Linked DNA regions of Callithrix jacchus. The protein of the gene in region 6 purifies or fractionates together with the protein of the main gene of each other region. This does not show direct contact. Links are inferred from orthologs where the notes say so. Each region holds a gene or a part of one and is shown on either strand. Other genes may lie near its edges. The genes, in order: VAPB, LRPPRC, ATP1A1, SLC39A7, TFRC, ERBB2 and TIMM50.

Evidence for each region.
Region 1: the proteins of ERBB2 (region 6) and VAPB purify together in Homo sapiens (affinity purification with mass spectrometry; 3 studies listed by BioGRID and IntAct, with this or other methods). This does not show direct contact. The link is inferred for Callithrix jacchus from reciprocal best matches to the Homo sapiens genes ERBB2 and VAPB.
Region 2: the proteins of ERBB2 (region 6) and LRPPRC purify together in Homo sapiens (affinity purification with mass spectrometry; 3 studies listed by BioGRID and IntAct, with this or other methods). This does not show direct contact. The link is inferred for Callithrix jacchus from reciprocal best matches to the Homo sapiens genes ERBB2 and LRPPRC.
Region 3: the proteins of ERBB2 (region 6) and ATP1A1 purify together in Homo sapiens (affinity purification with mass spectrometry; 4 studies listed by BioGRID and IntAct, with this or other methods). This does not show direct contact. The link is inferred for Callithrix jacchus from reciprocal best matches to the Homo sapiens genes ERBB2 and ATP1A1.
Region 4: the proteins of ERBB2 (region 6) and SLC39A7 purify together in Homo sapiens (affinity purification with mass spectrometry; 3 studies listed by BioGRID and IntAct, with this or other methods). This does not show direct contact. The link is inferred for Callithrix jacchus from reciprocal best matches to the Homo sapiens genes ERBB2 and SLC39A7.
Region 5: the proteins of ERBB2 (region 6) and TFRC purify together in Homo sapiens (affinity purification with mass spectrometry; 3 studies listed by BioGRID and IntAct, with this or other methods). This does not show direct contact. The link is inferred for Callithrix jacchus from reciprocal best matches to the Homo sapiens genes ERBB2 and TFRC.
Region 7: the proteins of ERBB2 (region 6) and TIMM50 purify together in Homo sapiens (affinity purification with mass spectrometry; 3 studies listed by BioGRID and IntAct, with this or other methods). This does not show direct contact. The link is inferred for Callithrix jacchus from reciprocal best matches to the Homo sapiens genes ERBB2 and TIMM50.

The regions. Positions count from the first base shown.
Region 1 is NC_133506.1:53,978,811-53,982,749, reverse strand, and holds the start of VAPB (vesicle-associated membrane protein-associated protein B/C), read right to left. Parts: upstream 2,801-3,939; 5' UTR 2,565-2,800; coding exon 2,507-2,564; intron 1-2,506. UniProt on the Homo sapiens protein: Endoplasmic reticulum (ER)-anchored protein that mediates the formation of contact sites between the ER and endosomes via interaction with FFAT motif-containing proteins such as STARD3 or WDR44.
Region 2 is NC_133515.1:70,893,038-70,896,537, reverse strand, and holds part of LRPPRC (leucine-rich PPR motif-containing protein, mitochondrial), read right to left. Parts: intron 2,746-3,500; coding exon 2,688-2,745; intron 1,605-2,687; coding exon 1,498-1,604; intron 1,280-1,497; coding exon 1,202-1,279; intron 861-1,201; coding exon 816-860; intron 412-815; coding exon 298-411; intron 1-297. UniProt on the Homo sapiens protein: May play a role in RNA metabolism in both nuclei and mitochondria. In the nucleus binds to HNRPA1-associated poly(A) mRNAs and is part of nmRNP complexes at late stages of mRNA maturation which are possibly associated with nuclear mRNA export.
Region 3 is NC_133508.1:154,391,555-154,395,054, forward strand, and holds part of ATP1A1 (sodium/potassium-transporting ATPase subunit alpha-1), read left to right. Parts: intron 1-1,197; coding exon 1,198-1,401; intron 1,402-2,010; coding exon 2,011-2,124; intron 2,125-2,506; coding exon 2,507-2,641; intron 2,642-2,761; coding exon 2,762-2,879; intron 2,880-3,298; coding exon 3,299-3,500. UniProt on the Homo sapiens protein: This is the catalytic component of the active enzyme, which catalyzes the hydrolysis of ATP coupled with the exchange of sodium and potassium ions across the plasma membrane.
Region 4 is NC_133505.1:41,442,358-41,446,386, reverse strand, and holds the start of SLC39A7 (zinc transporter SLC39A7), read right to left. Parts: upstream 2,801-4,029; 5' UTR 2,746-2,800; intron 2,440-2,745; 5' UTR 2,436-2,439; coding exon 2,025-2,435; intron 1,937-2,024; coding exon 1,768-1,936; intron 1,616-1,767; coding exon 1,562-1,615; intron 1,425-1,561; coding exon 1,260-1,424; intron 1,129-1,259; coding exon 988-1,128; intron 779-987; coding exon 582-778; intron 151-581; coding exon 1-150. Other genes in the region: RXRB (retinoic acid receptor RXR-beta), read left to right, coding at 3,208-3,439. UniProt on the Homo sapiens protein: Transports Zn(2+) from the endoplasmic reticulum (ER)/Golgi apparatus to the cytosol, playing an essential role in the regulation of cytosolic zinc levels.
Region 5 is NC_133518.1:80,935,807-80,939,306, forward strand, and holds part of TFRC (transferrin receptor protein 1), read left to right. Parts: intron 1-217; exon of another isoform or gene 218-280; intron 281-1,049; coding exon 1,050-1,199; intron 1,200-2,023; coding exon 2,024-2,126; intron 2,127-3,500. UniProt on the Homo sapiens protein: Cellular uptake of iron occurs via receptor-mediated endocytosis of ligand-occupied transferrin receptor into specialized endosomes. Endosomal acidification leads to iron release.
Region 6 is NC_133506.1:120,185,185-120,188,331, forward strand, and holds part of ERBB2 (receptor tyrosine-protein kinase erbB-2), read left to right. Parts: intron 1-827; coding exon 828-966; intron 967-1,046; coding exon 1,047-1,169; intron 1,170-1,398; coding exon 1,399-1,497; intron 1,498-1,922; coding exon 1,923-2,108; intron 2,109-2,251; coding exon 2,252-2,407; intron 2,408-2,518; coding exon 2,519-2,594; intron 2,595-2,869; coding exon 2,870-3,016; intron 3,017-3,147. UniProt on the Homo sapiens protein: Protein tyrosine kinase that is part of several cell surface receptor complexes, but that apparently needs a coreceptor for ligand binding. Essential component of a neuregulin-receptor complex, although neuregulins do not interact with it alone.
Region 7 is NC_133523.1:34,962,618-34,966,627, reverse strand, and holds the start of TIMM50 (mitochondrial import inner membrane translocase subunit TIM50), read right to left. Parts: upstream 2,801-4,010; 5' UTR 2,785-2,800; coding exon 2,677-2,784; intron 1,731-2,676; coding exon 1,580-1,730; intron 1,051-1,579; coding exon 1,019-1,050; intron 801-1,018; coding exon 779-800; intron 1-778. UniProt on the Homo sapiens protein: Essential component of the TIM23 complex, a complex that mediates the translocation of transit peptide-containing proteins across the mitochondrial inner membrane. Has some phosphatase activity in vitro; however such activity may not be relevant in vivo.

The DNA.
Region 1 (3,939 bases), about 66 Mb from region 6:
GAGTTTGTACTGGGATTTGGGGTTTCAGGGAGTTAATGCAAGAAAGAACTGCTCAAGAAGAATCAACATAATTGTAACTTGGACACTGGGTGCATCTATGCATAAAGGGACTGAGAAGATCTGACTCTTGTCTACTTACCAGCCTTGTCTCCCTTCTTACCAGGCAACCACAAAAAATGTTCTTTGTTGCTGTCATTCAGAACTACTAGTGGTGGCCAGGCGCGATGGCTCACACCTGTAATCCCAACACTTTGGGAGGCCAAGGAGGGCGGATCACTTGAGGTCCGGAGTCTGAGACCAGCCTGGCCAACATGTTGAAACCCAATCTCTACTAAAAATACAAAATTTAGCCAGGGGTGGTGGCACAGGCCTGTATGTAATCCCAGTTACTCAAGAGGCTGAGGCAGGAGAATCACTTGAACCTGGGAGGCAGAGGTTGCAGGGACATGGTGCTCTGCACTCCAGCTTGGGTGACAGCGAGACCTCTATCTCAAAACAAAACAAAACAAAACAAAACAAAACAAAACCTACTAGTGTCATCCCAAAGGAGCCAGTCAAGTGTTTGTGCCTCAGTGCATACAATTTCCTCTGCCTGAAACATCCCCGCCCCCCCGCCTTTCCTTCTTTGAAACTTTTTCTACTTCAACTTTTTAACTGAGCTCAAATGACACCTCTTTCAGAAGCTGACCTTCTCAATGCTCCCAGAGCACTCTGGATTACCCTACATCACTGACCTGTCCTGGTTGTTATTCTCATCTGCCCCCATTCCCTAAACTACTGGGAGGAGGCTGAGGGGAAAATGGGAGAGTACAACTGATATGACTTGGCTTCTCCCGGTATCTGACACACAGATCAGGTATTCACTAAATGTTTCTGGACTAACTGAAAGAACACGCCAATGCACGGGAGAAGCCAGAACTTCAGACAACTCAAGTGGAAACCATGGCTCACCACATTCACTTTAGCTACCTGGACTCGCTGTCCAGTCTGGCTTCTGCAGAAAGCCAGGAGAACATCAGGAAAGCTCAAGTACTATCCGGGAATTAGGATCCAGGTTTTTGTGGGGTTTTTTGTTTTCTTCATTTTAGTTGGAAAACCTTTGGTTCTCTGTAAATTCAGTTATTTCACATTGCTAACATGGAAGGCAAAGTGACAGCCACAGTTCTGGAGTATTTCCCAGAGATCAGATAGCATAATGGTTATGAGTGTGAACTCTGACATCTGGGTTCAAATGTACCATTTGCCAACTGGGTAACTTTGGGTAAGTTACCCTACACTACTTCCCACCAGGACACATAAACTGGAGAGTCTCTGGCCATTCATTCATTCATACCTACCAACTGAGCATCTACTGTGAGCTTGGTGCTAGCGATATAGTGGTAACCTTGCCTTCCCATCTAAAATACACTTTCATGGAGTCAGACTGTTCCATTTCCTACACAGCACTTAGCACTATCTGCAATGATCTTGTGTGCTGGTTTTTCTGCCCTCGTCGGAAGGTAAGTTCTACTAGAGCAGAGGCCTTGTCTGTCTTGTTCATCCATCATCTACCTCCGCAGTGCTTTCCACATTACTGGATGCACATAAAAAAGAAGGAATGAGCAAGTCAGACAAGAACATTTTGCCTCGTGGTCCTGGTGAAGGTAGGAAAAAAAACAAAAACAACAACATAGAAAACATAAAGGCACAAATGACAAAGATAACGGCATCTGGGAGAAACCACGGTCATGGCTTCCCACCAACTCAGGTGTTGCTCCAGGCTCTGCCAAGAAAAAGGATCCCAGCACCCTGGCAGCCTCCCTCAGCAGCACCCAGGAGACAGCATGAGGGAGGCAGCGAAAGTAAAGTGGGTTCGATCCCATCGGAAGTCCTTAGGAGGTTCATTTGTTGGCTCAACAGGTATTTACTAGGCATCTAATGTGTGCTAGGTATACAGTAGCGAACTGACAAGAGCCTGTCCTCATGGAGTTTCCTTTCTAGTGTTGAAACAGTGATTCTGGGCATGAAAAGTGCCGCGTTGACCACGAAACTGGGTGACGGAATGGGGAACGACAGCAGGTGTGCACGGTGGACTGGCTGGTCACAGCAGGCCTCTCTGAACAGGTGACATCTCAGCTAAGCCTTGAGGTCAACACTGTCACAGAGCAGGGGAAGAACCTTCCAGGCAACGGCGGAGGCTCACACTACAGAAGACCACAAACTCGTCAGTAAGTTACAAGGCAATGTGACAAGTGCCTCGAAGGCAGGTCCCGGGAGGCTGAGGGTCGGGGAGGCGGCGCAAGCCCCGGCTCTGGCACCAGACCTCTCGGGCCGTCTCGGGTCGCGGCAGCTCCAGGCAGTTCTGCGGCGTGCCGCGAGCGCCACGGCCCAACCGGGCCCCGCCGCCCCCCGCGACTGCGCCGTCAGGGTGGGGACGAGGGCCGACGTCACCCGCCGCGCCCGACTCAGTCCCTTCAGCACTGGGGCGGGGGCCGCGGGCCAGAAGGTGGCGGCCTCCGGGGCTTACCTCGGAATTTGAGCTCGTGCTGCGGCTCGAGGCTCAGGACCTGCTCCACCTTCGCCATGTTCCTCAGCGGCGGAGCACCTTTGGCGGGGAGACCCCTGAGAGGTCACCGGGGCGGGAAGCGTTAATGCTGCGCCCGCTTTTAGTTTTACAAAAAGGCGGAGGCCAGTCGGGGCACGGGAGGGGTTGTCGACGGGGTGAGCGCGCGGAGCGGGGGGGGGTCAGTCTACGCGGTGCAGGCGCAGGGGCGGAGGGCGAGGGCGAGGCCGCGGTGCCCGGCGAGCTGACGGCACGCACGGACGCACGCACGCACGCACGCAGAGACGTACACACGCACGCACGCACGCAGCAGGCTAGCCCGCTCGGACGGCGGGAAGCTGCGCCCTGCGCAGCCGGCTCCAGGGGCGGGGACGAAAGCTGCGCGCGTGGAGCCCCTCCCGGGACAGTGCGCAGGCGCGGCAGAAGCCACAGGGGCGGGACTGCGGAGCAGCAAGGGGCGGGGCCTCGCGCAGCTCAGGAGGCGGGGTCTGTAGTCCAGCTACTATGATAGCCATGGCGAAAACTATTAAGGGACCAATGGGGGCCAGCCTCGTCTTAAGTGCTTTATTCAATAGTAGCAATTGGTAAGAATAAACTTCCACTTTTCTCTTGCTTATGTAGTGCCAGGCACTGTTAGAAACTTTGAATAATAGTAAAAGTACTTAGTATAAACATGATGTTTATGACTGAGTGATGTGCTAGGCACTGTGACATCTTGTAAATAATAATTATAAATATAATAAACTACCAATTATTGCCTTTATATGTTGTGCTACTCTGCTGAATGCTTTCAATAACAACAGCAACTACAATAAATACAAGCTGCTCTACATTAAATGTTTACTATGCAACTGGCACTGTGCTGAATTCTTTACTAATTAGATTTGTTTATGCAACAAATATTTAGAAATTTGTTCAATGATCAGAAAAGCTAACCTGATTCCAACCCTCTTACAATAGCCTAGTGAAGAGACATCTGTTGAATACGTAACCACACAAGTAAGTTAAATAATTAAAAATTGATGGGAAATCCAGATCTGCTTGACCTAAAAGTGGATGCTCTACATCAGGATTACCATTTAAATTGTATTTCATTATATTATGTATGCTGTGGAAGTAAAATAGGTGTTCTTAATAGTCTCCTATACATACCTATAGAGGTGAAACAAACATGGCAAATAGCTAACAATGGCTGACTCTACGTCACAGGCATGTAATTTTCTTGTACTGTTCCTCCCACTTTTCTGTATACTTGAAATGTGTCATGACAAAAAGATTTCTTAAAAGAATAATCTTTGTATTTTACCTGGAGCATTTAGTCCATTTACATTTATTATATTTACTAACATATCTGGAATTATTTCTACCATTTTATTTTGTTATTTCTATTTGTCCTG
Region 2 (3,500 bases), on a different chromosome or scaffold from region 6:
CTAGATATAAGAGACCGGAGCCATGGCTTGAAAGGACATTTGGCATGTATGATAAACCTATCACGGCTGTTACTATCATTCACTTTGCAGATTATCGTAAACAAACTACAGCAACCCGAAAACATGCCATTCAAGGTGTAGCTGAAATTAGTTAACCTTTCATTTAATTGCATTCTTTACAAGCCCACGTATAATGATCAATCGTAAAAATCACAAATATTATATTTGGTTTTTCTTATTGTTATCTATCAAGAATTTTTTACCTTAATAACATTTAAATATTTAAACCAATGTTACCTCTTCTGAACAAAGCACTAATATGAGTTGCTTTAGGACATCTTTTATAGGTTGATTTTCAGCTTTTAGTGTTTCAATCGTAGACTCCAATTTAGATGATGAAAGGTGCACAGTCTACAGAAAAGAAAAAAGGAAAGAAAAATTTACTGAAAAAGGAATCATACCCCTTTTGTCACTCCTCCCTTTAAATTGACTTTTCTTTCTACTTTCCTAAAAGTCATAAATGCTATCAGGGATATTAATTGGTAATTAATTAATACCATTGTTGGACTCCAGGGGTTTATGAAACACCTGAGATTATATGCAAATTTCTTAGATGTGCTGATTTTTCTGAGATGGGAAACAGGTTTTACCAACTTTTTTTTTTTCCGACAGTCTTGCTCTGTCACCCACAACGTATTAGAGGTATACAAGATGATAAAAATGTGAGGAATCACTGGTTTCACAAGTACACAATCCAGAATCCTCATTAAATATGGTTACTATACCATGTAGAATCTAGTTAAAAACCTACTTACTTTTCGAGAGCCTAAATTCTCATTGTCAACCAACATATGAGCATCCTAAAATTGAAATTTAAATTAGCACAGAATCAGAAAACACACGTAAAAATACATCCGCAAACATCAAAAGCAAATTGTCTCACTTCATATTACTATTTTTCATCTTTCCAAAATTTTAGACATTATTTTCATACTTCATTAATCATTGTAATTAATGTTTTACATATATTCAAGATTATTTAAATAAAATTTATGAACAATAAATGAAAGCTTTGCTTTAATGGCTGTCATTAAAATAAATTTTTTTTTTTTTGGCCAAAAGCATCATACTTAAAAAATATATAAAATTTTAACATGCTGTTATATATAAGTCAAACATTTGATTGCTATTTTACACACACCTTAATCAATTCAGGAACATGGTAGCTATCCAGAAGATTACGAATGCCTTTGTAGGTATTTTCAGGAATTTTTAAATTCTGTGAGAAGGGAAGGGAGGGAGAAAAAAAAAAAACCCTGAGTTTTAGACAACTGAACTGAAATTTGTCTAACAGAAATTATCTAAGACATAATTTAAGTCTCCAACTCTTGCATGTCATTGAGAAGTGGTCTGGTTGTACTTAAAAGCAGCAATTTCAAATCTAATAGATACATGTCAGGCAGGACAGGCATTATATAGCAAAAAATGAAATGGTACCATCTCCTTCAGCTGATGGAAGTATTGTCTCAAACGCTCCTCCTTGGCCTGTACCTCTGAGTCACTCATGCTGTCAATCAAGTTATAAAGAAAATAGCCAACAGCTTCTGTGGAAAAAAACAAGAGAAAGCATTCCACTAAAATTACTGAGACTGTCATGTTATCAAGATTAATTTATAAGAAATCATTTTGGTGTGAGATGTCACCCTGATGAGAGGCTCTGAAATGGCAACAATGATCACTGAGGCATAGAGATTATGTGGTTTGGGAGCACATATCTAACTGGTGAGTGAAAGGAATATTAATTATTTTCAGACCGAGTGACAGCTTTTCAGTACTAAATCTTACTTCAATCTATTTTTTTTAACCACTCTGTGACAGAAGTGGTCCTGCCCAAGGCCTTACCCCTTTCCTGTCCAAATCACAAGTAATAAAAATAAATAAATGTCTTGTACACATTTCTATACTATTTTTTTTTTGTGGACAATATTTAGGGAAGCACATAAAATTAGAAAAGATTGTTAAATGTTGAGTACAGAAAGTTAAATAATTTTAATAAGCAGATACAGTAATCTTGTGGAGAGCTGCCTATTAGCCAATGAAAAACCAAGATTAACAAAGATGTTTTGTAACAACAGTAATTTTCCTTTGCATTCAAGCATAAAATATATAGGGCCATGTTACAATAATACATAGGACAGAAATGTAAACTTTCAAGAAGGGTACCATCTTACAGAATACTACATATTCTAAGCTTCATTATATGAAAAATGAAAATCATTAAATGTCAAAACAATGTTTTTGGGGCAATAAATTATATTTGAAGTGGAAATCCACAAAAACCTTTCCTACATTTTATGTTTAAAATTAACTACACCTGCAAAACATTAAAAGCACATAAATACTAAGAATCACTGATTTTTAAGCCTATTTCCATAGGCTGCAGAAGAAACATTTCCCTAATATCCGAAAAGGAAAAGCTTCCCAACCCTGTCTTTAAAAAAACAATTATAACAAAACCAAACACTTCAGATCTCAAAATGTTGTAATCAATATAAAGATTAATAAACAAATGTTTTAAAATTTCACTTTTAAAAATAAAGTGTTTACTGATATAATTCTCCTAACCCATTATTACACAGAAGAATGGATTTGTGGATAAGTTACAATCATCGAAATTGAAACGCTACCCGTTGGTCCTGGAGGCTTCTGGCAATAACGTGGATCCTTGTACAACAATTCTGTTATCTGGTAAGACAGAAAATTCGTGCATTGCAGCAAGAGAAGCAAACAAGAACAAATACAATCTGAAATTGAATTCTTGAAATAATAAAACCTCTTCCCAGTAAGGTATTATTCTATATCACAGTAATTCAAAACCACCCCCACCCGAGAAGGCGATTGTTTTGTTTTTAAATAATAGGTTTGTCTTTTAAAAACAAAAACAAATCCATGTTGAAGGAAAACTGCAATGTTTTGTGAAATGTCACAAAGACTCAAAACTGATTTATAAATTGATACATAAACATCACTGAAAATGAATTGTTATAAATAGAAAATAGCTGATAGGAATTATTGACCAATATTATTCTTCATCATATGGATTTTGGTTTTGTTGACAATGCACTGGTTTCCACATTTTAAGTTTTACTGAAATGTAAAGTAAAATATCCTGAACTGCTAAATAATTTATATTTTTTAGATATTAATAGCAATTTCCATTCATCTTAATGAGACTAAAACAAAAGTGGTCTAAAGATCTAAAGTTTATTCACATGGATTATTTTTCTCCCCCAAATTTTATTTTAAGTTCAGGGGTACATGTGCAGGATGTGAGGTTTGTTACACAGGTAAACGTGCACCACGATGGTTTGCTGCACAGATCATCCCACCACCCAGGTATTAAGCCTAGCATCCATTAGCTATTCTCCTTGATCCTCCCTCTTCTACTGCTGGATTCTTATCAACTGAATTCACAAACACTGAAATGTATACACAACACT
Region 3 (3,500 bases), on a different chromosome or scaffold from region 6:
CCATTGCGCTGAAGCCTGGGCAACAAGAACTAAACTCCGTCTCAAAAAAAGAGAATAGAGAAGAATGTGGCTTGAAAGTGTTTTTCTTGACGCAGTTACTCTAAGGTCCAAGAGGAGGCCTCGACTTGACTCAGAACAACATGCCGCAGTGACTGTGCTCACTGTGCCAGGCAGTCTCCAGCCCCTTCACATGTATCATCTCACTTAAGTTTTTATTAGAGTCTTATAAAGTGTGCTCTCTCTGACCTATGCCCATTACTCAAATGCTGTGGGTCTATTTCCTTACTTGTAAAATGAGGTTAATAATGCCTAAAAAGGATTGTCATGAGAATTGAACAAGTTAATGAAATCACTGAATTTAGTGCCTAGCATGTAGATTAGCACTCAAATGCTTGGTAACGTGAGCACAGAATACAGATAAATAGATACTCTAGACAAAACTATTTTCTTTTGTTTAGCTTGGTATTTTGATAGTATAAAAATGATCCTAATTTTCCTCTCTTAATGAGAGCCTATATCTAATTGTCTGCTGTCAGTGGATCTTGGGTTTAAGGCCCATTAGAAAAACAGCAGGCTTTAGTAGAGTGGGTTTTTCGGGTGAACACCTTTCTGTCCCCAGGTTTCCTGGGAGTTGGCTAATGCACTTGGAGGTGAGCGCTTCCCTGCCAGACAAGCAAAGAATCAAGCTGTATATTTAAAACTTGGCTGTTAACCCAGCAGATTTCCACAGGAAGTTCTTTCTCCTTTGATGTTTGGAGAGGGTTTTTTTTCCCCTCTCCAATTGACAGAATCAATACACAGAAAACTCAAAGCTCTTAATTTGCAAAACGGAATGGTTTTGTGAAAATAGATATATTTTTGGTAGAAATACAATTTGGCATGAATCCATTGATCTAAAACTTCGAAGAAACCAGGCTGGATTCAAGTTTATTGATGGGTCAATTTGAAGAGTTTGAATCTGGGTGTTACGGTTTCCTTGGGAAATGTAGGCAATTGTTTGCCTGAACCCTGTTGGAGCTGGCTCGTCAGAGAACTATTCATGGAGGAATTTGCTAGGTTTTACCTTGGCTCTCCAGCTTGGGACATTTGGTTTCTTCCTTAAATCCTTGCTGCAGCTGTCCAGCTATCAGATAAGTATATTGGCTTGTAAATGCTCGTACGATTTGCCTTATTTATTTATATTCTTCTGCTTCTCAGGGCTTAACATCTGCTCGAGCAGCTGAGATCCTGGCGCGAGATGGTCCCAACGCCCTCACTCCCCCTCCCACTACTCCTGAATGGATCAAATTTTGTCGGCAGCTCTTTGGGGGGTTCTCAATGTTACTGTGGATTGGAGCAATTCTTTGTTTCTTGGCTTATAGCATCCAAGCTGCTACAGAAGAGGAACCTCAAAACGATAATGTGAGTTGTGTCATTCAGCGTGTGGATTTGTAGTACACATCAGGTTTCTTCTCTGTCTTGTCTCCCACTGATTCTCAATTACCACTCATTGCTTGATAGTTACGAACACTGGAGAATAGTGTCAGCAGCTGTTGCCTTCAAGACCCATCCTTTTTTTTTCCAGTTCCTCTTTCTACCACCCACGTGTAGATGCTCTTACAAGTGGGAAGCCCACCTGCATGTACTGCTGAGCAGGCAGCCCTGTCAGGCCCCTGCCGCCACCCACTGGATGGCAGAGCACAGCTTTTACTGTTGGCACAGTCACCTGTCTGGAAATGCTGGTGGCCATTCTTCAAAATCCACAAGTTGGTTGAAAAACATTTTGTTTCATAGATGGATCTAGAACATTTCCAAACGTCCAGTTAGTGATCAGGTGTTGGTGTGGCTGACTCCATTTCTGACCCTTCCTGTGTGGTCTCTGGAAGGATAAATAGGAAAACATGAGTTCCATATTTCTGAAACCTTGATTTCTCTATTGAAAAATCTGTTTTTTATTCAGTCAAAAAATGAATTGAATGTCCCTAATTCTTGCGTAGAGCCATCGGCCTTAACTTTTCTTTTCCCTTCCAGCTGTACCTGGGTGTGGTGCTATCAGCCGTTGTCATTATAACTGGTTGCTTCTCCTACTATCAGGAAGCTAAAAGTTCAAAGATTATGGAATCCTTCAAAAACATGGTCCCTCAGGTACCAGATGCTTTGTCCTTCTCCAAGCTTGTCAGCCTGTGACTTAGTGGGAATTTAAGGCTTTCCCAGTATTAATATGACTCCATCAGAGAGATGGATGTCTTCTAGCCCACCCAAAACCACCTCTTTTCCTTCTACCCCAAAAAAGTGGCAGCTTTTCTTTGGAAGGTAAACTCTGAATGCAGGCATACCATGTAACAGCAATCTCTCTTAAACTGGAAAGCAAGTTTTTGTAACCTGCATAAATAAAAGAGTGAATCATATCTTTGTTGTGTATTGAGATAATTAGGATTGTAGACCATTTTTAACTTGATTTTCTTGTTTTGGACATTACCCTCTCCTTGTTGGTATACTAACGGTATAAATGGTTTCCTTTCCAAAGCAAGCCCTTGTGATTCGAAATGGTGAGAAAATGAGCATAAATGCCGAGGAGGTTGTGGTTGGGGATCTGGTAGAAGTGAAAGGAGGAGACCGAATTCCTGCTGACCTCAGAATCATATCTGCAAATGGCTGCAAGGTGGATATTTTAACAAAGCTCATAGCTCTGCTGTTTGGGCAGTGCGAGTTGAGGGGGTACAGTACCCCATGATGAGGCTGATAGAGTCACATGACATTTTCCTTTCTTTCTCACATACAGGTGGATAACTCCTCACTCACTGGTGAATCAGAACCCCAGACGAGGTCTCCAGATTTCACAAATGAAAACCCCCTGGAGACTAGGAACATTGCCTTCTTTTCAACCAATTGTGTTGAAGGTAGGCCATTTTTTGGCACTTAGAACATGGTGTGGTATTTCTCTCGGGCATTAACATAAACAAAACCATAGGCACAATCTTGCGTTTTGTTGGCTCCATTTCTGACAACAGTGTCGAGCACAGAGCAGAGGTGTCTTCCATGCTGGCAGGAAACCTGGTGGCTATTTCCCTTCCCTCCACCCTGCCTCTTCTCTCAACACCACCAGCCTGGCATGGGTGTTGGAGCTGCTGTCCTGTGAATGGGTTGAAGTCCCTTTGACAAACAGCATATACAGCCAAAGAGCTGGCCCTTAAAGAGTGTGCTGTTGTCAGGTCAACTTTTTTTTTTTTTTTAAGCCATGCTATGTAATTGTGTAAAATCTGTGGCTTCTTTCAGGTTAGATAAAATTAGGTACAGTTCTCCCCCCCTTCTTTTAAAGGCACCGCACGTGGTATTGTTGTCTACACTGGGGATCGCACTGTGATGGGAAGAATTGCCACACTTGCTTCTGGGCTCGAAGGAGGCCAGACCCCCATTGCTGCAGAAATTGAACATTTTATCCACATCATCACGGGTGTGGCTGTGTTCCTGGGTGTGTCTTTCTTCATTCTTTCTCTCATCCTTGAGTACACCTGGCTTGA
Region 4 (4,029 bases), on a different chromosome or scaffold from region 6:
GTAGATAAAGCCACCCGCAGTAAATGGCAGGACCCAGCCAGGACCTGCACCACCTGCAACTTCACTGCCCACTGTTCCTCCTTCAGCGAGAAGGGCACAGGCAGTGCCTGCCAGTGCCCCTACTGCTGTCAGTAGTTGCAGACGCATTGCCTGATGGGCAGAAAAGAGAAAGAGACACTCACCAACAGCTAAAGATTATCAGTGGGTTTAGAAGTAGCTGGTGGGATATAGGTGTAAGGGACATGGATTTGGAAACTAAACATCAAAGTAAAAAGGGGGAGGGTCTAGAATAGACAATTTCTGAAAAAAATCTTAGAGATCAGAGATCCTTTCCACAGACTTTCTGATTGAGTAGGTGTGTGTGTGTAAGACTCCACTAAACCATTCAGATTGTTTATAGACCATAGTTTAAGAAATACTGAGCTAAAGAAAAGAAACCAGAACTTCTTCCCACTCATTTCTAGGGGACTTGTCAATGATAGCATGAATTGTTTGGAACTAATAAGAGGCTGTTTTGGGTTTAAGGTGAGTGAGCAGAAACAAAGGGTTTGAGGCAGCAGTGTTCGGCAGACATCACCAACCTGCTTTTTGCTGCAGCCAGACTGGACCAAGATGGCAAAGTCTCCAACCTCATGGGGCACTTCATGTAGCAGGACAGTCATTGTGGTCAGGATCCCTAGTCCCCGACCCCCTCGAAAGGAAGCCCCAATGGCCAGACCATCAGTGAAGTTGTGTGCCAAGTCAGCAGCCAGATTCAGGTATCCTGACACACGCAGGTCTTGTACAGGAAAAGAAGAGAAAATGATCAGAGGCCTCCATCACCAGTTGTTCCAGTCTTGGTCAGCTATCCTCACATCTCCCCTCAGAGACCACTTCACACCCAGTCCCTTAGTGTTTCCCAGACACCTTCCATTACCCATAGCACATATTCCATGTGATTCGTGAGGATGTCCCTTGCCCAAATTTATCACCAACTCTGGCCCTTACCTAAGCCTCTTTTTTCTTCTTCAGGCTTCTGAGGTCTCACTGGCCCATCTTTGGGTACTGTGCTTCCTCCTCGCCTCTTCTGGACACCCCCCGTTTCCTTTTCTTCTTCCTCTGAGCTCTGCTTCTCCTTGGTAGAACGCTCTGAGGGAAGAAAGGAGTTGGTCAGAGTGGAGAACAGATCTTCCAATATGTCCTCTCCCTCCTGAGGGCCATAAGATGAGGCGATTCTGAGGCAGGCAAGTCAGCTTTTGGAAAGTTGTTCCTGGGCTCACCCTGTCTTCCATGTCCATGACTTCCACGTGTGTGACTATGAGCATGTCCATGTCCATGACTGTGTCCATGTCCTCCTTTCACATGTCTCACGAATTTCTCCACGACCAGAAAGGCAACAATTCCACTGAGAACCCACAGTCCCACAGATAGAATGGGGCCCTGGCCTGGGAATAGAGGCATTGAGACATTAAGGGAGATGTGCATTCCAGACTTCTCCTCCTTAAGTGCAGGAGGTGAGGAATAGGGAGAGACGGACCTTCCCCAGCACCCCAACTCCTGTCCCCATCTGTCTCTTCCTCACCACTGTGGGAGTGTCCATGTCCAGGTTGCTCCAGAGTGTGGTGAGAATGAGGTTCTGGAAGAAGGGGGGGAAGCCAAATGAGGGAATATCTAACCCAAAGGGTGTGTATTTGGGGGAATATCGGAAGATCAGGAATCAGAAAGGAGAAAGAACCCTTAAAAGAACAAAATACGTTAGATTTGAGGTAGAAGTCAGAGGTTACTTACCAAGAGCATGAGGAATGAGGTGCAGGAAGGCGTCTCCCAGGAGCCCACCAGAAGCAAAACTGAGCAAGATCTGAAGTAGAGAGCGATGCCGGGGAGAGTTTGACTCCACAGGGATAAGGAAGAGGACAAAAAATGGAGCTGCTGAGATCAGCACTGTGGCCCCCAGTGCCTGGTGAGGGAGAATCAGGGTCAAGTACTGTGGAGTTTCCCGACAATCCAGAACCAGCCCCTCTCTCTCCCATCCCCTGGAAACTCACATAAGCCCAGAGAGTGACAGCATCCAGGTCCTGCTTGATGCCCAGAGCCCCAGACTCCCCATAGCCTCCATGGCTATGGTCATGGTCATGTCCATGTCCTCTGTGGTAGAGGTTCTCATGGGAGTGGCCATGGCTATGGCCATGGTGTAAATCCTCATGTGAATGTCCATGGTCGTGACCGTGGGTATGTCCATGCCAGATGCTCTCGTGAGTGTGGCCATGGCCGTGGGCATGGTTGTGTCCATGGTGGAAATCTTCATGTGAGTGCCTGTGGCTGTGGCCATGGAAGTCTTCTTGCAGATCGTCGTGCAGGTCGTCATAACCCCCGTGTCCAGCCACCAGAAGCCCCAAGGCTGCCCAGGTCAGCAGTCCCACGGCCACCCAGCGGGGGGCCCCCAGACCTTTGGCCATCACGCTGACCAGAGGGACAGAGACAGTGACTCCACTTGACTCTCAACTAACTCTATACCTACACAGGGTCCTCTTTACTCCAGTCGCGCTCTCCGTCCACCTCTATGGGCCGCTCTCCCATTCCCTTAAGTTTCCACCTACATAGTTCCCAAGACTAGTTCTCTTTATGCCGAACCCCCTCGCGGATGCAGGGCTCTGGGACACTAGTCTTTGACCAGCCACTTTACGGACTCTCTGGGCCCTCGTCTCTATGGCTCATTAGGTGAGGGAATGGCCTGGAAGGGATAGAATGGAAAAACAGAATTCTCACCGGCTCCGGGATCCTCTCCTTTCCCCGTTTGCTTGGACGTGGCAGTCCCGCCTTTAGCTCCCGCGAGAACAGGAAGTTCCGTTCCACCTTCGCCCTAATGCCTTTACCAATATGGCGGCACTCCGGTAGCGACGAAGCCACCCTGAGCTGACGCGCATGCGCGAGCCTGGAGGTTATTTGAGGGGAAGGTGGGCAAGGCGGGCTAACAGGCTGGAGGAGACCGCCTCCTCGGTTTCCAACTAGACGAGGGGGCGGGAACTTGCGCCGACACTTCCCGTCTGTACAAAGATGGCTGCCACATTGGCGCTGTCATTTTGGTACAGAGCAGAACGACAAGCTTAATTCCACCCAATCCAGGCCAGAGTCGTTTTCTCAGGTGCTTCCTCGTGCTCAGCTAATCTTCCGATCAACTCTTGGGAATCTCTGGCACCTCTTCGATATCCCTACTCTCAGCCAGGGATCATGTCTTGGGCCGCTCGCCCGCCCTTCCTCCCTCAGCGGCATGCCGCAGGGCAGTGTGGGCCGGTGGGGGTGCGAAAAGAAATGCATTGTGGGGTCGCGTCCCGGTGGCGGCGGCGACGGCCCTGGCTGGATCCCGCAGCGGCGGCGGCGGCGGCGGCAGGCGGAGAACAACAAACCCCGGAACCGGAGCCGGGGGAGGCCGGACGGGACGGGATGGGCGACAGCGGGCGGGGTGAGTGTCCCTGCGGAAGGGCAGGCAAGCCAGTGACCGCGTTATCTGCAACCCCCTCCCCCACACCCTCCCCAGTGCTCTTTTCCTGGCGCTCCCGCCCCCTTGTTTGTAAACACGCGTCCCTTCCCTCCCGAGGGCCTTAGCGCCCTCCTCCCCCCAGGGCGGGGCGGGGAAGGGGAGCTTCAGATCTCCTAGCCTTGACCGCTTGAGGCCTGGGGCACTGGAGGTCGCGGGCGTGGGAAGGGCACGATTCCTCTTAAGCTTCAGGACTTTGGACGTTTGAAGGCAGATTCTGCGTTATAGGAGGGGTCTCTCCCACCTCTTTCCCCTGTACGCCCCGGCTACCCAGCTTTACGCTGGGAATAGAGGGGCTGGATGGGTACCCCACGTGCTGCCCCACCCACGAGACAGGTGTGGCTTGGGGATGACCTGGTATTCATTCAAATGGATTGCTTGGAAGATGTTTCTCAACTGAGCTATCCTCCTCTCCTTGTCAACTCCCTCCTCTCACCACAATGAGGAGTACCTTGTTTTTTTGTTTTTTCAGCCAGTCAAATATAGCAGTGGGAGGTTGTATACCAATTTTAGTG
Region 5 (3,500 bases), on a different chromosome or scaffold from region 6:
TGTGCCACCATGCCTGGATAATTTTATATTTTTGGTAGAGACAGGGTTTCTCCGTGTTGGTCAGGCTGGTCTCGAACTCCTGACCTCAGGTGATACACCTGCCTCAGCCTCCCAAAGTGCTGGGATCGCAGCACTTGAATCCCAAGTAGGGTTCACTTGAATTACAAGTGGAGTTGCCAAGTGAGCCATTGCATCTAGCCTGTTTATTTAATTTTTAAGGGACTTTCTGGCAAAAACTAGAAAGGGTGCTAGACAAATTCTAAAAAGAGCTGTAATATTTGTCCTTAGAGTTTTGCTATCTTTGCACCATATATTTCTCTGTACAAAGAATAAATTTATCTTTTCCCTTTTGCTAGCTTTCTACAGTTACAATGGTACTATAACTCTTTTTTTTTTTTTAAAGATGGGGTTTTACCATAAAGGTCAGGCTGGTCTTGAACTCCTGACCTCAGGTGATCCACCCACCTCAGCCTCCCAAAGTGCTAGGATTACAGGCGTGAGCCACCACACCCAGCTTCGGTACTATAACTCTTTAGTCTTAAGTTAATGACATTTTTTACTTCATCTAGTTGATTTATTGTACACCAGAAATTATGGATAAAGTGAGAGGATAGTCTGACCTTACAAAAATGTAGGAACTAGTGCTGAGTAAGTAGAACTATGGGAGATCAGACCAAGATGCAGTCTTGCTTCAGGGTACTCAGAAATGCTTCACAGGTAGGCAAAAATTGATACTCCATCCTAGATAGCCTATAGTGGATCTCCTGGGAGCTACTGTTTCCCCGAAAACCACCCTAAGCAGATACATTATGTTAAGATGAGGCTCTTGAAGGGAGTGCTTTATGGTGAGCAAAGAAGCTTTGAAGTCGTAAACTAACATTTGGGGCATGGTTTTTTTTTCTTAGTTTCTGTTATTCTGGCAAATCTAGAAGTTTTGGGTCACAGTTCATTTATCTGATTTTGCTTTCAAAACAACTTGTTTAATCCCTGAGTTAAATGTTTATTTTAAATTAAATTAAAGTTCATGTAAAAGACATTTTCTCCTACAGGCTGCTGAATGAAAATTCCTATGTCCCTCGTGAGGCTGGATCTCAAAAAGATGAAAATCTTGCGTGGTATATTGAAAATCAATTTCGTGAATGTAAACTAAGCAAAGTCTGGCGTGATGAACATTTTATTAAGATTCAGGTCAAAGACAGGTATGTTGGAAGATAGTAAACTTATTTTTATACAAGTGGCTATTTTCAGGTGTGCAGAATATAGCAAAGACTTTTTTTTCGAGATGGAGTCTTGCTCTGTTGCCCAGGCTGGAGTGCAATGGCACCATCTTGGCTCGCCGCAACCTCTGCCTCCCAGGTTCAAGCGATTCTCCTGCCTCAGCCTCCAGAGCAGCTGGGATTATAGGTGTGTGCCACCACGCCCAGCTAATTTTTGTATTTTTAGTAGAAATGCGGTTTCACCATGTTGGCCAGGCTGGTCTCTAACTCTTGGCCTCAGACGATCCTCCCGCCTCGGCTTCCCAAGCTGAGATTATAGGCATGAGTCGCCCCATGTGGCCCAAAGGCTTTTTTATTTTTTATTTTTTTGAGACGAAGTCTCACTCTTGTCCTGCAGGCTGGGGGTGCAATGGTGCGATCTCAGCTCACTGCAACCTCCACTTTCCAAGTTCCAGTGATTCTCCTGCCTCAGCCTCCTGAGTAGCTGGGATTACAGGTGCCTGCTACCATGCCAGGCTAATTTTTGTATTTTTAGTAGAGACAGGGTTTCACCATGTTGTCCAGGCTGGTCTCAAACTCCTGACCTCAGGTGATCCGCCTGCCTTGGCCTCTCAAAGTGCTGGGATTACAGGCGTGAGCCACCATGCACAGCCGGCCCAAAGACTTTTAAAATAAAAATTAGTGTTAAGATTTGGAGGTAAATTTCCTCAAGCAAAATGATGTAATAAGACATGCTAAAAATATAAGCTATTGCATTTTTCTGGAAGGATGACCTTAGCCTTATTTTAACTTAATCTTTTTAACAGTGCTCAAAACTCAGTGACCATAACTGGTACAAACAGTGAATTTGTTTATCTGGTGGAGAATCCTGGAGGTTACGTGGCGTATAGTCAGAACGCAACAGTCACTGTGAGTAAGGCAAACCGTTCATGAGGTTGAATCATTCAAAAACTCATCTTTTCTGTTCTTTGGAGTTATAAATGTACTTGTAAAATGTAAATGATCCTGATAGTTTGGTTTTCAACCCTCTAATGACACAGCCAACATGCAAAGTCTTCTCTCTAATCACTTTCCTCTTACCCTGCTTTATCTTTTTCTTTCTTTGTAGTACTGGTAGCACCTGACATTATGCCTTTGTTTCCATTAGAATGTGAGCCATATGGAGAACCATGAGTTTGTTCTATTTACTGCCACGTTGCAGAGCTTTGGAGAATGGCCGACATACATAGTAGTGCTTGCTATATGAATGCATATCCTCTTTGTGGGGGCAGTTCTAAGTATCCATCGTGGCTGGGGCCTAGTCATAGCTGGATTCTTAGCTCAATCTTTTTTTATTTGTTTTGAGATAGAGTGTCACTCTGTCGCCCAAGCTAGAGTGCAGTGGCATGAGCTTGGCTCACTGCAACTTCCGCCTCCCGGGCTCAAGTGAGCCTCCCGAGTAGCTGGCACATCCAGCTAATTTTTTCCTTTTTTTTCTTTTTGGTAGAGATGGGGTTTTGCCATGTTGGCCAGGCTGGTCTTGAATTGAAACGCCTGGGCTCAAGCGTTTCACCCACCTTGGCCTCCCAAAGTGCTGGGATTACAGGAGTAAGCTGCTGTGCCCAGCCCTTGGTCTTTTTAAATTTAGGCAAATACAGTCAAATTAACGCAGAAATAGAGAACAGTTAGATGGAATAATTTTCAGCTTAAAATCACATTTGTGGCTGTGTGCGGCAGCTCATGCCCGTGATCCCGGCACCTTGGGAGGCTGAGGCTGGCGGATCACTTGAGGTCAGAAGTCAGAGACTAGCCTAGCCAACATGGTGAAACCCCGTCTCTACTAAAAACACAAAAATTAGCCAGGTGTGGTGGCGTGTGCCTGTAATCCCAGCTACTCAGGAGGCTTAGGCAGGCAGGAGAATCACTTGAACCCCAGCGGGGCGGAGGTTGCAGTGAGCTGAGATTGTGGCGTTGCACTCCAGCCTGGGCAACAAGAGCAAAACTCCATCTCAAAACAACAACAGCAAAACACATTTGTAAGTCAGGTACATGTTTAGTGGATACCTTTAGAGGCAGGTGAAGTGCTATGGTGATTCCTTGCTTTTCTGGATACTTGTGCCTTATCACTTTGCCTGGCTGCATACAAGCCAGGAGATGGGTAGATCGTTCTGTTAAACAACATTGAAGATATTTGTTCAACTTCAAGCTCTCTTGTCAGGTGCTTGGTCATTAGTGTCAGGTGATAGCTGTTCATCTGAACTGTTATTAGCTTTGGAGCATAATGACATATCTAAAGTTGGTGTA
Region 6 (3,147 bases):
CAGAATTCAATAAATTACATAGCCAGGCATGGTGGCTCACACCTGTAATCCCAGCACTTTGGGAGGCCAAAGTGGGAGGATCCCTTGAGGCCAGGAGCTCAAGACCAGCCTGGGCAACACAGTGAGACCCCACTTCTACAAAAAGTGAAAAAATTAGCCAAGTGTCATGGCACCTGTCTGTAGTCCCAGCTACTTGGGCAGCTGAGGTGGGAGGATTGCTTGAGCCTGGAGGTCAAGGCTGCAGTGAGCCATGATCTCGCTATTGCACTCAGCCTGGGCAACACAGCAAGGCCCTGCCTCAAAAACAAACAAACAAACAAATAAATAAATAAATAACATGAGCTATTTAACACTTTATTATAAAATAGGCTTTGTGTTAGATGGTCCTGCCCAACTGTCAGCTGCTGGCGGTGTAACTGTTCTGAGCATGTGTAAGTCAGGCTGAGTCTTGAATGCATTTTCAGTTTCAACTTACAATTGGTTTATCAGGATGCAGTCCCATGGTAAGTTGAGGAGCATGTGTATTAACAGTCTCTTTAGTGATTTTTACACTGTGAAGTGTGGAGCCCTAAGCCAGAGCCAAGGGCAAGAGCATAGAGAATGTGGAGATGTGGAGAGGGCTCTGATTGCCTGCAAGGAGTTTGAACTTTATTGTGGAGGCAGTGGGGAGCCAGGGCAGGTTTTAGAGTAGGAGAGGGTCCAAGTCTGTGGGTCACCCTTCTGACTTCCCTTTCTAAATGCCCAATACCTTCATGTCCCCCGTGGGCCCCTTCGTCCCTCCCACCCCAAACTGGCTTGCAATCTCTGACTCTGGCTCCTGTCCCCAGCCCTCTGACGTCCATCATCTCTGCGGTGGTGGGCATTCTGCTGTTCATGGTCTTGGGGCTGCTCCTTGGGATCCTCATGAAGCGACGGCAGCAGAAGATCCGGAAGTACACGATGCGGAGGCTGCTGCAGGAAACGGAGGTGAGGCAGCCTGAAGGCCTCCCAGCCCTCATGGGGTCTGCACTGGCTCTTGGCACTGACCCACCACCCCCTCATCCCAGCTGGTGGAGCCGCTGACACCGAGCGGAGCCATGCCCAACCAGGCACAGATGCGGATCCTGAAAGAGACCGAGCTGAGGAAGGTGAAGGTGCTTGGATCTGGAGCTTTTGGCACAGTCTATAAGGTCAGGGCCTGGGCCAGGTCCTGGGGTGGGCGGTCCCAGAGGATGGGGCCAGTGCCTGGAGGGGTGTCAAGATCTGGAGGCAGTGTTTGGGGGAGGGCTGTTATAGAAGGCAGCAGGGGGCCAACCCCCAGGGTGGAGAAGGAGGTTTGGAACACAAGTAATGATCTCCTGGAAGGTAGGCAGGATCCGCCCACGTTCTTCTCACTCATATCCTCCTCTTTCTGCCCAGGGAATCTGGATCCCTGATGGGGAGAACGTGAAAATTCCAGTGGCCATCAAAGTGTTGAGAGAAAACACATCCCCTAAAGCCAACAAAGAAATCTTAGACGTAAGCCCCTCCAACCTCTCCTGCTGGGAGGACAGGGAGGACCCCAGGGCTGCAGGTCTGGGCTCTGGTCTCTCTTCACTGGGGTTTGAGCAGATATGACTCCCTCAAACCTAGACTTTTTTTGGAGACAGAGTCTTGCTCTGTCACCCAGGCTGGAGTGCCGTGGCCCAATCTTGGCTCACTGCAATCTCTGCCTCTGGGGTTCAAGCAATTTTCATGCTTCATCGTCTTGAGTCGCTGGGATTATAAGCACCTGGCTAATTTTTGTATTTTTAGTAGAGATGGGGTTTCACCATGTTGTCCGGGCTGATACTTGGAGCCTTCATAGGCTGTGGGCCGTGGCTGTGGCTTGTGACGGTTGGGAGGCTGTGTGGTGGGTGGGGGTGTGTGGTCCCTGTACCCTCTCAGTGCATCCTTGTCCCCAGGAAGCGTATGTGATGGCTGGTGTGGGCTCCCCATATGTCTCCCGCCTCCTGGGCATCTGCCTGACATCCACAGTGCAACTGGTGACACAGCTCATGCCCTATGGCTGCCTCTTAGACCATGTCCGGGAACACCGAGGACGTCTGGGCTCCCAGGACCTGCTGAACTGGTGTGTGCAGATTGCCAAGGTATGCACTTAGGGCACCTGGGCTCTGTGCAGGTCACTTTGGAGCAAGCTCCTGTATCCACATGGGGCTAGGAGGGGGATGCTTGCTGGGCATGTGGCCAGGGCCAGGCCCTCCCAGATCTACACAGGTGCTTCCCATTCCAGGGGATGAGCTACCTGGAAGATGTGCGGCTCGTACACAGGGACTTGGCTGCCCGGAACGTGCTGGTCAAGAGTCCCAATCACGTCAAGATTACAGACTTCGGGCTAGCTCGGCTGCTGGACATTGATGAGACAGAATACCATGCAGATGGGGGCAAGGTTAGATGAGGGAGCAGGGGAGGCAGGGTGGAGTGGGTCTGGCCCCTGGGAGGACTCTGAGTGGCCGCCTCCCCACCACACCCAGTTGGAGGACTTCCTCTTCTGCCCCAGGTGCCCATCAAGTGGATGGCGTTGGAGTCCATTCTCCGCCGGCGGTTCACCCACCAGAGTGATGTGTGGAGTTACGGTGTGTGGTGGGGAGGGGTGGGTGAGGAGCCCTGCCTGGAGGGAGGATGAGAACTGGGATGGGGCCACGTCAGCATGTGGAGGGAGAGAAGCAGCTGCCTGTGCCCCACCTTGCAGGGTCTATGCACTAACCAGAATTAGAGAAAGACCGGGAGGCTCTGTCTCCTGACTTCACATCTTCCCCTGTTGCCGTGCTACGATCCTGGGCAGAACCTCTGGCTCAAGACACTAAAGCTCCCGCTGGCCCTCCCACCCCTGACTCTGTCTCTGCCTTAGGTGTGACTGTGTGGGAGCTGATGACTTTTGGGGCCAAACCTTATGATGGGATCCCAGCCCGGGAGATCCCTGACCTGCTGGAGAAGGGGGAGCGGCTGCCCCAGCCCCCCATCTGCACCATTGATGTCTACATGATCATGGTCAAATGTGCGTGGCTGAGCTCTGCTGGCTACTTGGAGGAGGGTTGGAGGTCCTGGGTGGAGGAACCCACAAGGGGCATGGGAGGGAACCAGGATGTATGTCGACCCAGGAGCTCTGGTATTTTAAAAGGAGCCTCA
Region 7 (4,010 bases), on a different chromosome or scaffold from region 6:
GAGGTTGCGGTGAGCCAAAATTGCGCCACTGCACTCCAGCCTGGGTGACAGAGCAAGACTCTGTCAAAAACAAAAACAAAAACAAAAAAACCCCACAATATCGAAAGCAGTTAGACTAGTAAACATATACACTTTAAACCTCCAGGTTTTCCTGCCCAAGTTAAATCAGCATAGTGATTTGTTGAAGCTAGCAAGATTCTAATCTGCCCAGTCAAACCAGCACTCACTCACCTGCCCAGTGTGAAAGACTGTATTAACATGACTGTTTGCAAATGTCCCCACATAAACAGGTGGCTTTCTGGATCCACCAATTTCATTTGACAAGACTGACAACTACTCTACTATCCAATTTGTCAGAAATTTCAGCACCAAAAGCTGGTTAACCAGATGGGGTGGGAGGAAGGAGGCATTGTTTTGAAAATGAGACTAATGGAGTAGGGGCTTGGGGGGGTTGGGTAAAGAGTTGGGAGCTGCAGATGCTCAGTCTAAGGCACAGGAACCCACGTGTCTGGAGATAGGCCACCCTGTGTCCCCAGGCCCTCCCACCCAAGGCTCCCCACCCCCATCTGTCCCTGACCATCTGCTCAGGGCTGAGGGGCCAGGGAAGTGGGCTTGGGCTTTGTAAAGTCCCTCCCCACAAAGCTATCCAGCTGCTGGCTCCCCAACCTCCCCAATGGAAGGAGGAGGGGCCAGAGACACCAGATGGGGAAAGACACATCCTTACAAATGACAGAGCTGAGAGGGTCGGGGACTCCAGAATCTGTGCTTGTTTACTCACCATTGTCGAATTCATCAGGAATCTGGGAGGTAGAGAGAAAAATGGAAGGTTTAGGATGTCAGAGGCAGAACCTCATCACACCCATAAAAGGAATCTCCAGGACCCCAAGAGGAATAAGCAAAGGTCCTTAGGAAAGAAAGGCTCACTCCAGACCAGCAATGAGCCTCAACAAACCAAAGGGGACCCCTCTCACCCACAGGCTAGGACTCCTGGCAAGGCCTCAGTCTCTTTTCCCCTCACCTTGGCACCTTTTTCGTCCACAGAGTTGTTTCCTGCAAGGGAAACCAGGATGAATATGAGGAATTGGGGTGCAGTCTCCTAGGTCCTGAGGGAGGAGTGGGATAGGAGGCCTGGACTCCTGGATCTGAGGGAAGAGAGTTAGAGGCACAGCCTTCTGGATTCAAGCCAGGAGGGGGCTGGGAGCCAAGATTCCTGGGTCTTTGAGAGAAAGGGGGCTGGGTCTGTGTCTCTTGAGTCTGAGGGATAAAGGAACTAGTGGGAAGGCTGGATTTTTGGGTGCTGAGGAAAGACAAAGTTTAGGAAGCTGATCTACGCCTATCCTTCCCCATCTTCCCCTCTTTCCTCTATCCTGGTACAGGAACCAACTAGAAAGACTAGAACCTTAAGAGGTAGAAGGGAGAAGAATTCCCTGGTTTTCAAAGGTAGGTGTCCTACTTGGCTGCCCTATGGAGGAGAGCCAGGGAATTAAGATGGAGAGGTTTGAGTGGGTAAGAGTGAGAGGTTCCACAGCGGACGAGGGAGGCAAGGAATAAAACTAGGGGGCAGCGATATGTCCCTCACCAAAGATATAGACGACGCTCACGGTCCCACCAGCTCCAAGCAGTCCAGCAAGCCAGAGAGCAACTTTTTTGGCATAGCTGGGACCCTCTGAGCCCGGCTGCTGCTGTGGCCCCTGTGCCTGAGTGCCCCCGCGGCTCCCGATCTCAGCGACCTGCGGTTGAGAAAGGGGAGGTCAAGAGAGAAGAGCTGATCGTTCCAGCATTCCAGTCCAAGAAGAATCAAGTTCAGGAGTCAAGAGGCAGACACCCACAGAGCCTGGACGTCTGTGTCCCTGGAGGGGCAGTCAGGAAGTGGGGCTGCTCAGAGGGTCAAAACCAGACTGTCCAGCGCCAGGATGCCAAGAGTTTTAAGAGCCAACAGGCCAGGTGCACAGGATCCTGCAGACAACACGACTAGAGGGTGTGGAGCCCGGAAAAGCAGATCAGGGAGAATAAGGGATGGGAAGGCCTAAACTCTGGGATGTGAAGGAACGCAGGGCACAAGGGGGAGGGGTGGGAGGGCGGGAAGGGGCAGACAGGACCGGGAGTTATGACATCTGGCTGCTTGGGGCTAAAAGGTAGCAGAGTACAGGGTAAGGGATGGGAGCAGAGGCGGCGAGAGGCAATCACTTGTCTGGGGCTTGGGGAACTAGGACACAGAAGTGATAGACTTGGAGGTCAGAATGGCTGGGTCTCTGACAACATGGAGGCAGGTCGAATTGGAAATCCAAACGTCTACCTCACCACCCTCACCACCACCACCACCACCTTGGGAGTAAAAATAACTCCCAAGGCCAGGCTGGGACTCCAGCGTCCCACTCCCCTCCTGCTCAAATAATCACCTGAGTGGTCACTGAGATGGGAAACAGGTAACCCCCTCCTCCTCCGGCGCCCACGTGGGTGGGAGGTGGGATCTGGAGGACACACCTGGGCCCCCAGCCTCCAGGCCAGGGGAGCAAGTGCTATTCACCCAGGAGGCTGGGAAGGGGCCCAAAACCCAAGCGACGTTTTATTCAGCACCCTGAGGTGCGGCGTCCCAGAACCTCCAAGCCGCGGCGATATGTCCGTAACTCCAGGGAGGGGACCCCACATTCAGAGCGCCACCCTCGTTCCGCTCACCTGATCCGGAGCCCGGGGGGGCGGCGTCGCCAACCTCGTGCACAGTCCCCGCAAGCCTAGCCGGAGCCCGCTCCGCAAGCGCGATAACAGAGCTACCGAGGTCGCCATCTTGCGCTGACGCCACGCGGCCCCACCCACTTGCTCCCTTTATTCCCGCCCCGGGCCGGAGCTACAGCCAATGGGAACGCAGAGGAGGGGCGGGCGGACGGAAGCCCGAAATAGACCAAAGGCTTCGGGCGGATTGCCGCAGGCACGTTTGCCCCAACGATTCTGTTTGATGTCCCTGGGGGCACCAACTGGGATCCAAAGTCATCTGGACCACGCCCAACTTGGGCCGTGCGGAGCGCCACCGCCGAGGCAAAGGATGCAGCAAGGGAAGTGGTCAGATTGCCTAGAGGTAAAGCAGAGGCCATAATGAAGGGAATCATTGGCTGCCTGATTTGTCCCAAAAAAAGTCAGGAGTCAGGTCGCTTGTCTCACGTGTAAGGGCATCGGCCTTCGCCTCCCAATTGTCAAAAATGGAAACTGGGGCTTAGAAAGCGACCTGAAAAGCCAGTCCTCAAAACCTTCTGGCCAGGCGCGGTGGCTCACACCTGTAACCCCAGCACTTTGGGAGGCCAAGGCAGCGGATCATCTGAGGTCAGGAGTTCAAGACCAGCCTGGCCAACATGACGAAATCCCCGTCTCTACTAAAAAAATAAAAATTAGCCAGGAGTTATGGGGCGCCCCTCTAGTCCCACCTACTGGGGAGGCTGAGGCAGGAGAGGCAGAGGTTGCAAGGAGCCTAGATTGCGGCACTGCACTCCAGCCTGGGCAACAGGAGGCTCTCTCAAAATAAATAAAAATTAAAATTAAGGCTGGCGCAGGGGCTGCGCAGGGGCTCACGCCTGTAATCCCAGCACTTTGGGAGGCCGAAGCGGGTGGATCACCTGAGGTCAGGAGTTCCAGACCAGCCTGGCTAACATGGTGAAACCCCATCTCTACTAAAAAATACAAAAATTCTCCTGCCTCGGCCTCCCAAGTAGCTGGACTACAGGAGCCTGCCACCATACCCGGCCAATTTTTTTGTATTTTTAGTAGAGACAGGGTATCACCCTGTTGGTCAGTATAGTCTCAAACTCAACTCAAATAATCTGCCCCACCTCGGCCTCTCAAACTGCTGAGATTACAGGTGTGAGCCATCACGCTCGGCCTTAAATGTTTTGTTTTTTCTTTTTTTGAGACGGAGTTTCGCTCTTGTTACCCAGGCTGGAGTGCAATGGCTCGATCTCGGCTCACCGCAACCTCCGCCTCCTGGGTTCAAGCAATTCTCCTGCCTCAGCCTCCCGAGTAGC